Linked DNA regions of Cricetulus griseus. The protein of the gene in region 2 interacts with the protein of the main gene of each other region in a biochemical or structural test. Links are inferred from orthologs where the notes say so. Each region holds a gene or a part of one and is shown on either strand. Other genes may lie near its edges.

Evidence for each region. The genes of interacting proteins can lie anywhere in the genome.
Region 1: the proteins of Ago2 (region 2) and Dicer1 form a complex in vitro, tested with the Homo sapiens proteins (2 studies listed by BioGRID and IntAct). The link is inferred for Cricetulus griseus from reciprocal best matches to the Homo sapiens genes AGO2 and DICER1.

The regions. Positions count from the first base shown.
Region 1 is NC_048598.1:190,294,260-190,299,149, reverse strand, and holds the start of Dicer1 (endoribonuclease Dicer), read right to left. Parts: upstream 3,254-4,890; 5' UTR 3,213-3,253; coding exon 3,069-3,212; intron 2,460-3,068; coding exon 2,297-2,459; intron 1,480-2,296; coding exon 1,349-1,479; intron 509-1,348; coding exon 374-508; intron 1-373. UniProt on the Homo sapiens protein: Double-stranded RNA (dsRNA) endoribonuclease playing a central role in short dsRNA-mediated post-transcriptional gene silencing.
Region 2 is NC_048595.1:370,847,391-370,852,495, forward strand, and holds the start of Ago2 (protein argonaute-2), read right to left. Parts: upstream 3,110-5,105; 5' UTR 3,095-3,109; coding exon 3,070-3,094; intron 1-3,069.

The sequences.
Region 1 (4,890 bases), on a different chromosome or scaffold from region 2:
TGGAGTCAAATTCCCAATTCTGGTAACTAACATCACTGCCCTTTGGACCTTTTCTTTTCTTTTTTTTTGTAAACACAGCATATAAGAGCCAAAGACATGGCTAAGTAATTAAGAACACTGGTTGCTCTTCCAGAAGACCCATGTTTAATTCCCAGAACTCAAACTTCAGCTTACAACCACCTGTAACTCCAGTTTCAGAAGGACCCTTTTCTGGCCTCTGAGAATACCAGGCACAAATGTGGTACATAGACACATATGCAGGCAAACTCCTATCCACATAAAATTAACATTTTGAAATGTTAAAACTGTATTTACTCAATAACTTAATAATTTGACCATCAATTACTGAAGTTGATAAAGTCTAAAAACCTACCTTCATAATTTCTCGGTAAGGGTGGTCTAGAATTGCAAGATGACACTCATCAAACACCAAAAGGTTAATGTCTGACAGTGATAAGTAACCATTTTTCAAAACATTCAAGGCGACATAGCAAGTCATAATGAGAACCTAAAATAAAACTGATATCAGTACACAAATGCCATTAACCTGCCTGGCTATATCTCTACCAAAGACCAGAGTGTCAGTATATGGAAGTGAAGATTATGAAATTCACGGGTCAAAATTAAAGCAAAGAAATTTACATATGTAAAACATAGGAACCAAGATGTAAACAATGACCAGTGATAGTATGGGAAAAGATTATGAGAAAAACGCCTTAGAAAGGGAGACCACGTCCTTATGGTAAGTTACTAAATCTACTTCAGGTTTCCCCAGCCATTGAAATATGAGACCTGTCAACTTAGTCAAAACATAGAAGAATTTACAGAGCTGACAGGGTTTTCTGAAAAATTAAATACTCTTTATACAGCCTATTGTTCTGGAAGGCTTTATTTAAGTAGGTTCATTCTAATATTCGAGAACTACTAGTGGTTAGCAGGCTGTTGGATGTTAGTTACAAAGCAGCCCTCAACCATTGTGTATCTCCCAGTACCACACACAAGAAGCCCTTAGCACATGCTATCTACTGAAAACATGAAGGCAGAGGGAGCCTCCCTCAAAGACCAGGGACCTCAAACAAGGAACTTTCCCAGTTTCAAAATACATTCTCTTCAAGTTCAATAAGTCACAGGTATTTGTGTTTTTCAAGCAAGTAAATAACGGCAGCTGCTCTCTTTTCTACCCTCTGGAGGCAAACACATTAGTAATGTATTGTTCATACTGGTTTCAGATGAACCTTACAGGGAGAGAATGGAAAGGACTGGGAGAATGTCCCTTTCTAGCTTCCTCCATAGCTAAGGCTAACGGGCTTGTAGTGTCTGTACAGTGAAATGTCCCTGCAGGTCTCACCTGGTGCTTAGTAAACTCTTGGCTCCATCTCTCTTTTGTCCAAGATGCATTTACTTCTAGGTTTGAGTACTCCCCAACCTTGAGGTCTGAGTGAGTTCTGACAGCTGAAACTTGTTGAGCAACCTGGTTTGCTGGCCACGAAGAAAACATGCAAATAGGAACAATGTACCCAGTTAGCTTTCTGAACAGTTACAAAAATTATCAGTTATACCTAGCCACCAATTTTTTAAATGGCTAATTTAAAAATCATAGTTCCAAGATCACCCTCTAAAATCATGGATGAGGCCTGCCACTTCCTCTTCCATCACTTCCTCCAGACAACCTCATATCTCCTTCACAGTTGACTTCCTCCATCCTAAAGATCTAAGTCCTTTTCAAACCAGAAGGACACCTACTCGACACCTGTCCCTTCTGCTCTCCTCACTGAAATCAGGTCAATCCACCAAGAAGTCATGTTCAAATCACACAATTATGCTAAGACTGTCTTAAAAAAAACAGAAGGGGAGGTCATTCTGGATTCCCAGGTTATACTTTCATGTCGACAATTCCAAGCATACAGACATTGGTTTAAGACATCAGACACTAAGTCTCCTCAGTAGCTTTAAAGACCCATATAAGTTTCTAAAACTGCTCCAGCTAAAATCGCCCATCAAGTAGGTTCCTATCTCTAGTCAGCCTTCAACCTGCTGTATGGAGTGAACCAAGAATCAAAGTAATTTTAACAATCTAGCCATCTCCCCAGAGCAAACCCCATTAGGAGAAATGCAGAGTCTGAACTATTGAGAAAGATGCTACAGAGAATAAAATAGTGTTTTGGCTAGCAGGGCTTCAGTAAGCTCATTGTTTGCCAAACTCTTTACTTCCAATAATTTAACTTAATACCCACAGAGATAAATACAAAGTCTCATCCAATTTTCTCCTCACATCTGGTAAATGATATTTGATTACCAGAGTTGACGAGGAACACGGTCCTTTTTGCACGTGGGTTGAGGTCGCCCCTGATCTGATGGGCCAGCTCTTTGGTGAGCAGGACCGCGATGAACGTCTTCCCTGAGCCGGTGTTCAAGCAGACAATGGTGTTATGGTCCAGAGCCGCTTCCAGCAGCTCAACCTGAAATATGGGAAAAGACCACACACTTCTTAATGAAGCACCACATATAAGAATTGACTTTTGTTTTAAACATAGAAATTTCCCTGTTTTCTCAAATCTAAATCTGCAGACAACTTTACAAAAAGAAAACCACTGTCTTCACATTTACTCAAGAATAACAGGGGAGTGAAATGGCTGTTATACACAGCTGTGCTGCTGTAAGCATATATTAAAATGGCACTAACAAATTTATTTAAGAATTATTTCTGCACATGTTAGTTACATATAACTGAATCTCCACTAGGTATGTTTCTACCAGCTCAGGGCTGAATACTTTCAAACCAATCTCCATCCCTACCCAGCTCACTAGGACTGATACAGCCAAATGGATATAAAGGAACAGTGAACTTGGGAGGGGATAAGGAACTCACAAACAGAACCAACACAAGTCAATTACCCAGCAGATGTTAGAACAGAAAAGAAAACAAAAAAAAAAATGTTTTAAATAAGAAAATTAATCAGAAGAGGGAGGCTTGAAAGAGTAAATGAGTTTTATAAGTTGTGTCAATTCTATAGTAATTTATTCTATTTTAGTGAAAAATGCTCCAGTATTAGTGGTTTCATTAGTACCTGGTATTTTCTTGGCGTATAAATGTTATCATGAATTGCTTCTTGTTGCCATGGCAGTCCAAAGAAAGGACCCATTGGTGAGGAAGCAGGGGTCATGAGCTGCAGGCCTGCCATGCTGAGGGGCTGCAAAGCAGGGCTTTTCATTCATCCAGTGTTTCTTTCATTGCATTTTGTTCTAGCACAGCTTACTACAAAAGGGAAAAAGAATACCATTACACAACCATGCAGGGTTAAAACAAAAGAAAGCACAGGAACAAGAATGACATCAGACTACTGCTCCAGAGAGCCTTTTCAATTCTTTCTGTGGTTGGTTTGGTCTCTCTTGAGATCTAAGAGGATGGTTTTAAAAGTCAAGCAGTCTATACTCAACCTGGCAATTATACCTAGAAGCTTTTCTAAAGAATGAACCAAACAACTGTACAAATATAAACACATCAGTCTGTATTGTTACATTACTGGAAGACAAGAAGTAGCTTTAAAACTAGTAGAAAACCATAGTAACTGTAGCTATCTAAAGGTATTGTCAAATAATGTAAAGGAATTCTTTAAAATTATTCACATTCTCATGGGTCTATATTTATTGGCAAAGAGCAAAGTCTACTGATGCCTTGTTAAACATATACCTACATGTAAAGTACAAACATACAAAAACATACTCTCTCTAAGTTCTCTAATATGCTGACAAAATAAGGAGCCAGCATACACGCAGGCACTAAAGGTGCAAACACCCGACCTGGTTAAATCACATTAGTAAAAGGGGTGTTTTGCTTAACTGGCAATCTGCAACTACACAGCTAAAACTATCCTTAGACATACATGTTTAAAATTATACATATCCTGATAAACTAAACACATGACATTTTCTAAATGGAAATTCTTCTATGACATCTAAGCACTCTCCCATTTTCATACATTCTTTTCCAGAAGTAAATTTCATTATGTAAGCTGGTAAAATAAAAATTGATCTTTTAAAAGTTTTCTGTGTGCGTACACACATGTATGTTTATGTGTATGCTGGTGTGTGCAAGTGTAGAGGTCACAGGTCAACAATTGGATGTCCGTCTCCAGCACATTCATTTTTTGAAGCAGGGGCAGCCTTGCAGAGCACTGTCTTCTGAGCATAACAGCCACCATTCTCACCAGGACAGCTGTGACTACGTTTAAAACAACCCCAAAGCAGATCCTGCTGAGTGATGGCTTTCCCTCAGAGGAGGAGCAGGCAACGAGAGTCAGTGAATACTTACCTGGAATTCCAGCTGCTCCCCCTACACTTCCTGCCGTGTGTGTGGAATCCTGATCTAATTGCACATGGCCTCATGGCCTCAGGAGGTCTAGAGTGGAAAATTAACAGAAGAGGGGACTCCAATGGAGTCTATGTAGCTATAGGAAGCTGCCATCCATGCTGGGAAGAGAATTCCTAGTGGTGTGGCTGCTTTGCAGTCACTCACTCTCCTATAAGTGACCCTTATGTTCTGTAAGTGAGCCCAATAAACTGACACCTTTCCCCTAAGTTGGACTTTGGTGGAATTGTATTTTGGTTTGTCACTGGAGCCCTGAAATGAAGGGACAGAGGTCTCAAAACATTTAGCATAATCTGCAGGATCATAGTAACTGGCTGGCCACCAATACCTCAAGATTTGCCCATCTCTCCCTACACTACCACATCCACACAACCCAACCTACCCCCAGTTCAGATTACAAATAATCACCAGGTGCCTGGCTTTTACACAGGTGTGTGGGATCAAAAGGGTCAGATCCTCAGCCGGGCATTGGTGGCACACGCCTTTAATCCCAGCACTCGGGAGGCAGAGGCAGGCGGATC
Region 2 (5,105 bases):
TTAATTGTTGGAAGGCTTTGGAAAGTCCTCTGGTGCTGTGCCATTTCCTAGACTGTGTCAATGCAGAAACAGTTCTCTCAGGTCCATCCAAGCCAGGTTTCTGGCCCAGCCCCACTTCTGACACTGGCGTCCTTGGGAGTGACTTGGGACTGTTTTCTGCCTTCCCAGAGGCCCTACTGGCAGCATCTGGGAGTCCCACGCCCTTTGGAACAGCAATTACCTGTGGCATCTCCTAGGTCTTCTGGGTACAAGTGGGGAAAGGCCTGCAGGTGATCTGGCTCTCCTTCCGGCCCATCCAAGTCAGGGCTAGAGGGCTGACTGAGCGCCAGCTATGGAATCCCAGATTGTCCGGGGCCAGAGCCTTATCCACTTCTCCTGGCTTTCTCACACCTACCTCCAGCACTCACCCCCAGCTTCAAATTGTTCCCTTCAGCACCCCAAACCTAATAGCCCTAAAACTCAGTGACATCTGGCCTCTCTTCATGCCATGGCCATGAAATAATTTACTCAATGTTTCATAACAGTGGTTGTCAGGATGAAGGTACAGACAAACCCAATGCCTGTCTAGCTGGACCATTCACACAGATGAGTCTCCCCTAGAGACAATGAGGCACTGGCTCAACTCCGTTCACCCTTGTGGTGGTTTGAATGAAAAATGTCCCTAGTTTTGGGCATTTGAACAGTTGATCCCTAGTTAGCTCAGGAGGCATGGCCTTGGAGGAAGTACATCACAAGAGGCAGACTTCGAAGGCTTGAAGACTCTGCCATTTCCATTTTGCTGTGCTTCATGCTTGTAAATGTCTGAAAAGATGTGAGCTCTCAGTTTCCTGCTTCTGCTGCCAAGCCTCCTTGCCATGATGGACTCTGACCCCCTGGAATGATCAGTGCCAAATAAACTTCCTTCTATAAGTTGCCTTGATCATAGTGTTTTATCACAACAAAAGAAAAATATCTAATACAACCCACAATCCATCACCACCCTCTCCTAGGTAAAGGAAGCTAAGAGAGCTGACAGGGTGGTCCCCATGGCTAGCCCTGGAGCCAGTTCCTGCCCAAACACACACATGAAGAACTATCTGGTGTTTTTCCAGAATGAGCTTGCCCACCTGGCACCACAAAGATTTGGAAGCAGTTCCTGCCCGGGGTCTCTTCCTCCTCTCTGACTCCTACAGTGTTGGCCTGGTCAATATCTCCAAGGCCCCAAATCCTCTCTTTAAACCACTGGCACCATCCAGCTACCTAATCCCTAAGTCAACTCCTCACTCCCTTGCTGCCCTCCTCAGCATCCCTCCCGAGCTCCCCTGGCCTTGTGCTCTCCAGTGAGCTATTCAAGATGCTTCCAAGGACTCTAAGCTTCAAGTGAGCTCCCTGGAAGTCAGGAGGAGTAGGGACAAGGAACCAATAGCACCTGTACAGACACACTGTAAACATGGGAGGTGGATGCTTTTAATGCTCTTTGCATCTCCATAAGATTCCATTCAGTCTTAACCATGTCTAAGTACCTGACTGGAACTCATATCTGTGTTGGCATATGGAACAGAGCCCACCACTTGTAATGTATATAGGCAGCAATGGAAGCCTACCTCTGCAGGCTCATCTTGAACCTGGTTCTAATGGGCCCTGTCTGGCTACTCTGGGTAACCAATCATCCTACCAGCAAGTTCTCAAGATGACTGGGGACACATACACATGGCTCCCCTTCAACCTGTGCCACACCAGAAAGAAAAAGAATCCAGGTCACAATGTCCAGAGGGTGTGAGCAACCTGGGAAATATCTCACATGCTCCAGACAGGGAAACTGAGACCCATACAGATGCCAAACTCCCCACACATGCCTAGGAGGACAGGACTGAAGTGGATGACTATGTTCATCTATCCAATGCCCCTGCTGACACTAGGGAAGACCAAGAATAGAGTTCCCGGATGCTGGTCCAGTGTCCAAGAGCCAGAGGCACTGTGTTCTTGGCAGACAGCAGAGGGTCTGGCTGCTTCACACACCCGGTGGGCCCCCTGCTTGGGGCTGCAGCAACACATTTTGGTATACCATCTCAGGGACACCACATGTGTACCTTCAGGCATCAGGAGGACTCCAGATGCACTGGGTGTGAAGCAAGTGGACACACTCAGCCCTGGTGCTGCTCCTGAGCCTCAGGCCTGACTTAGGTATGGCCCACCAGGTCTGCCGGCTGTCCAAATACCACACTTGACTGGAGGAAGCTCCCAGGTTAGATGATGAACCCTGCACAGCTCTACTGAAAAACTGATGGAAAGGCACAGTTGTTTGGTCTCAAAGAGGAAAAAAAAAAAAAAAAAAGGTATAAATAGGGATTTCAGGTTCTTCAGCTCTAGAGGTGAAAGTGGGAAATTAAGTTGTAGCTTGACGCCATTTCACCACAAGAGCTTCACTTTATTTAACCTGCCAGGGTGAAAAGGATGGTGCAGGCTGGAGCTGGGCCAGCGTAGCCTCACTGCCCGTGAGATAGTGATGCTGGTAGAGTGAAGCTGCAGGGTGCTGGGTCAGGAGCAGATAAAGGAAGAGGATGTAGGCATCTGGAGTTGGAAATGCAGACAAAGGTGGAAGAGGCCTACTTTTCAAGGCTTTGGCAAAACACTGCTGATGTAATGGCACACATCTGGGGATGTCCCACAAGGGAAAATGAGTTCAAAGCCAGCCTGGGTACCATGTTTCAAAAACCAAAATACAACCAAGAAAGATTTAGATGACAGAAACCCAAATTTACACATTCTTTCATAACTCCATATTCTAATATCAGTTGTAGGGTCTGGAGAGATGGCTCAGCAGTTCAGAGCACTTGTTGCTCTTGCAGGACCCAGGTTCAGTTCCCAGGATCCACATTCACAAATGTTTGTGACTCGTTTCCTGATGCCCCTTCTGGTCTCTGGGGCCACCAGGCATGTATGTGGTACATATCCATGCATGTAGGTAAACACTAATCATACAAATAAAAACAAAATTTAAAAAATAATCCAAGTGTAATCATGTTTCTGAAGCCAAGAGAAGTGATAGCACCTGGTATAACGATGGCAATGGGCTGTGTTCATACATACCTGCACCAGCTCTTTGTGGTGACATAAGCCTGTAATCCCATGTCTCCAGGAGTAGAGGCAGGAGAATGAGCTTGAGACCAGCTCGGGCTATACAGCCCACCCTGTCTCTGAAAGAGAAGGGGCAAAACAAACAAACAAACAAACAAACAAAAATTCCCTGTATTCTGTACACACAAGCATGTCAGGGTGAACTGGCTGATCTGGAGCATGCTTGAGGATGTCAGTGGGGAAGAGGCAGCTGGAAAGCCACCGCCCAAACACCTATAACTGCAGGAGGAGGAGGAATGGACAGGCACAAACCAAATCTGCTTTCACCCTGCTTTCATGTAAAATTACTTCAAGGTAGAAACTTTTTAAAAATCCTGTTACATTTTCTACAATAACAATTCATATAGCTTAAAAAAAAAGAAACATTTTTGTCATCCTGGCAGCCCAGTCTCTTGAACGGCAAAGAATAAACCCAATGGTGTTGACAAAGAAACTCAGTTACAAAATGTTGCTTCTTAAGAATGTGTAAATCAAAGCTTTTACAAGCAACACCTTATTTAAATAACTACACAGGCTGGGGGGGGGGGAGATATTTCCCACAAATGCTCATCAGCCACCATGCTGTATGCATTCCAGCCGCTGGCAGCAGAGCCCGCCAAGCTGCAGTGGTACCCTCCCACACAACTGGGAGTTGGGGGAGAATCCAGGGAGCAGGGCCACAGTATATGCTCAAAAATCCCAATCCTGATTGGCAACTCTACACTCATTTTTCACTGTCATAGAGGTTATTTTGTAGCAAATCCTCCTGGGCAATAAAAGCCGGAGTACAGCCAGACAGCTTAAAAACCTTGGGTGGGGGACCCCACCTATAACCCACTTTAATAGGAAGTTTCCGGTTGGGTAGAGAATTTACATATGCTAAACCATTAACCCTTTTGGAAGGGAGTGGGGGAACAACCCAAACCTGTCAAGTTCTGAACCTTGCCCCCCCACCTCCAGCTATCAGCTTCACACGTGTAAAAGGGGGATAATAACCCACTGTGAATTCTATTTTTAATGTTAATTTACTAAGTATTTACTTCCCTTCAAGCTGGGGAGCCGCAAAACTCTTTGTAACGTTTCTAGAATTCAGATACAATGGCCTTCCATCCTCCTACATTTGGAAATATGGTTGCGTCTCATTGAAGAAATTGTATGGGGGGGGGTACTTTCAAGCAAAATTAAAAGCCATGGTGCCTACAATAAAATGAAGCTGCACTCCGACCTTGCGATTACAGCACACTGGCCCACCTGGATCTTGGGTTCCTTCCCAGTCTGCCATTAGCCAGGAATTATCCTACAGGCATCTCTTTTCTCGCCCAAGGTTTTCTGGTTAGAGGGGACTGTCTCTCCCTCAGGCCACAACGCAGAGGCCCACGCAGCAGCAGCCATCTTCAAAGCTGCCAGTGACCAAAACGAACCGGTTGATCCAGAGGGCTACCGCATTCTTTTCTAAAAGGCAATCTCCCCTTGCAGAACACACAGTAGGTTCTTATTTCCACCCTATCTGGGCATCCACTGGTCTAATCCACACCAAACAGGTAGTCCCAACGGTGGGTCAAGGTCAAAGATACTGGAAGCCACTTCTCTAGGAGTGTTCAAACAGGTTGCCTAATGCCTGCTGGCTCCTGAACATTACAGGGCTCTTAACCTCTCTGAGCTTCTACTGACTGTCTTCAGAATGAAAAACCACTATGACAGGCCGAAACGAGCAACATGCAAAACAGAGGAAAGCCTGGTCTCGTTCCCAAGGAAGTCACTAGAAACTGACACTCTGGAAAAATCGTGCAGCCTCGGAACTAAGGTTTTCTGGGTTCCTCCACAGCGCTGAGCTGGCCATTTCCAAGGCGGCTTCCAGACCCCAATATCTGCCCCCCAGGACTCGGTCACCTCCCAGGCACAAGGTGAAACGGGTCTACAAATTGCTGGAAGCCCTATAATGCATTTAGAAGTTGGTCAGTGGGCATTCGAGGAGCCAGCCCTATGACATCAGGAGAGGAGGCGCACTA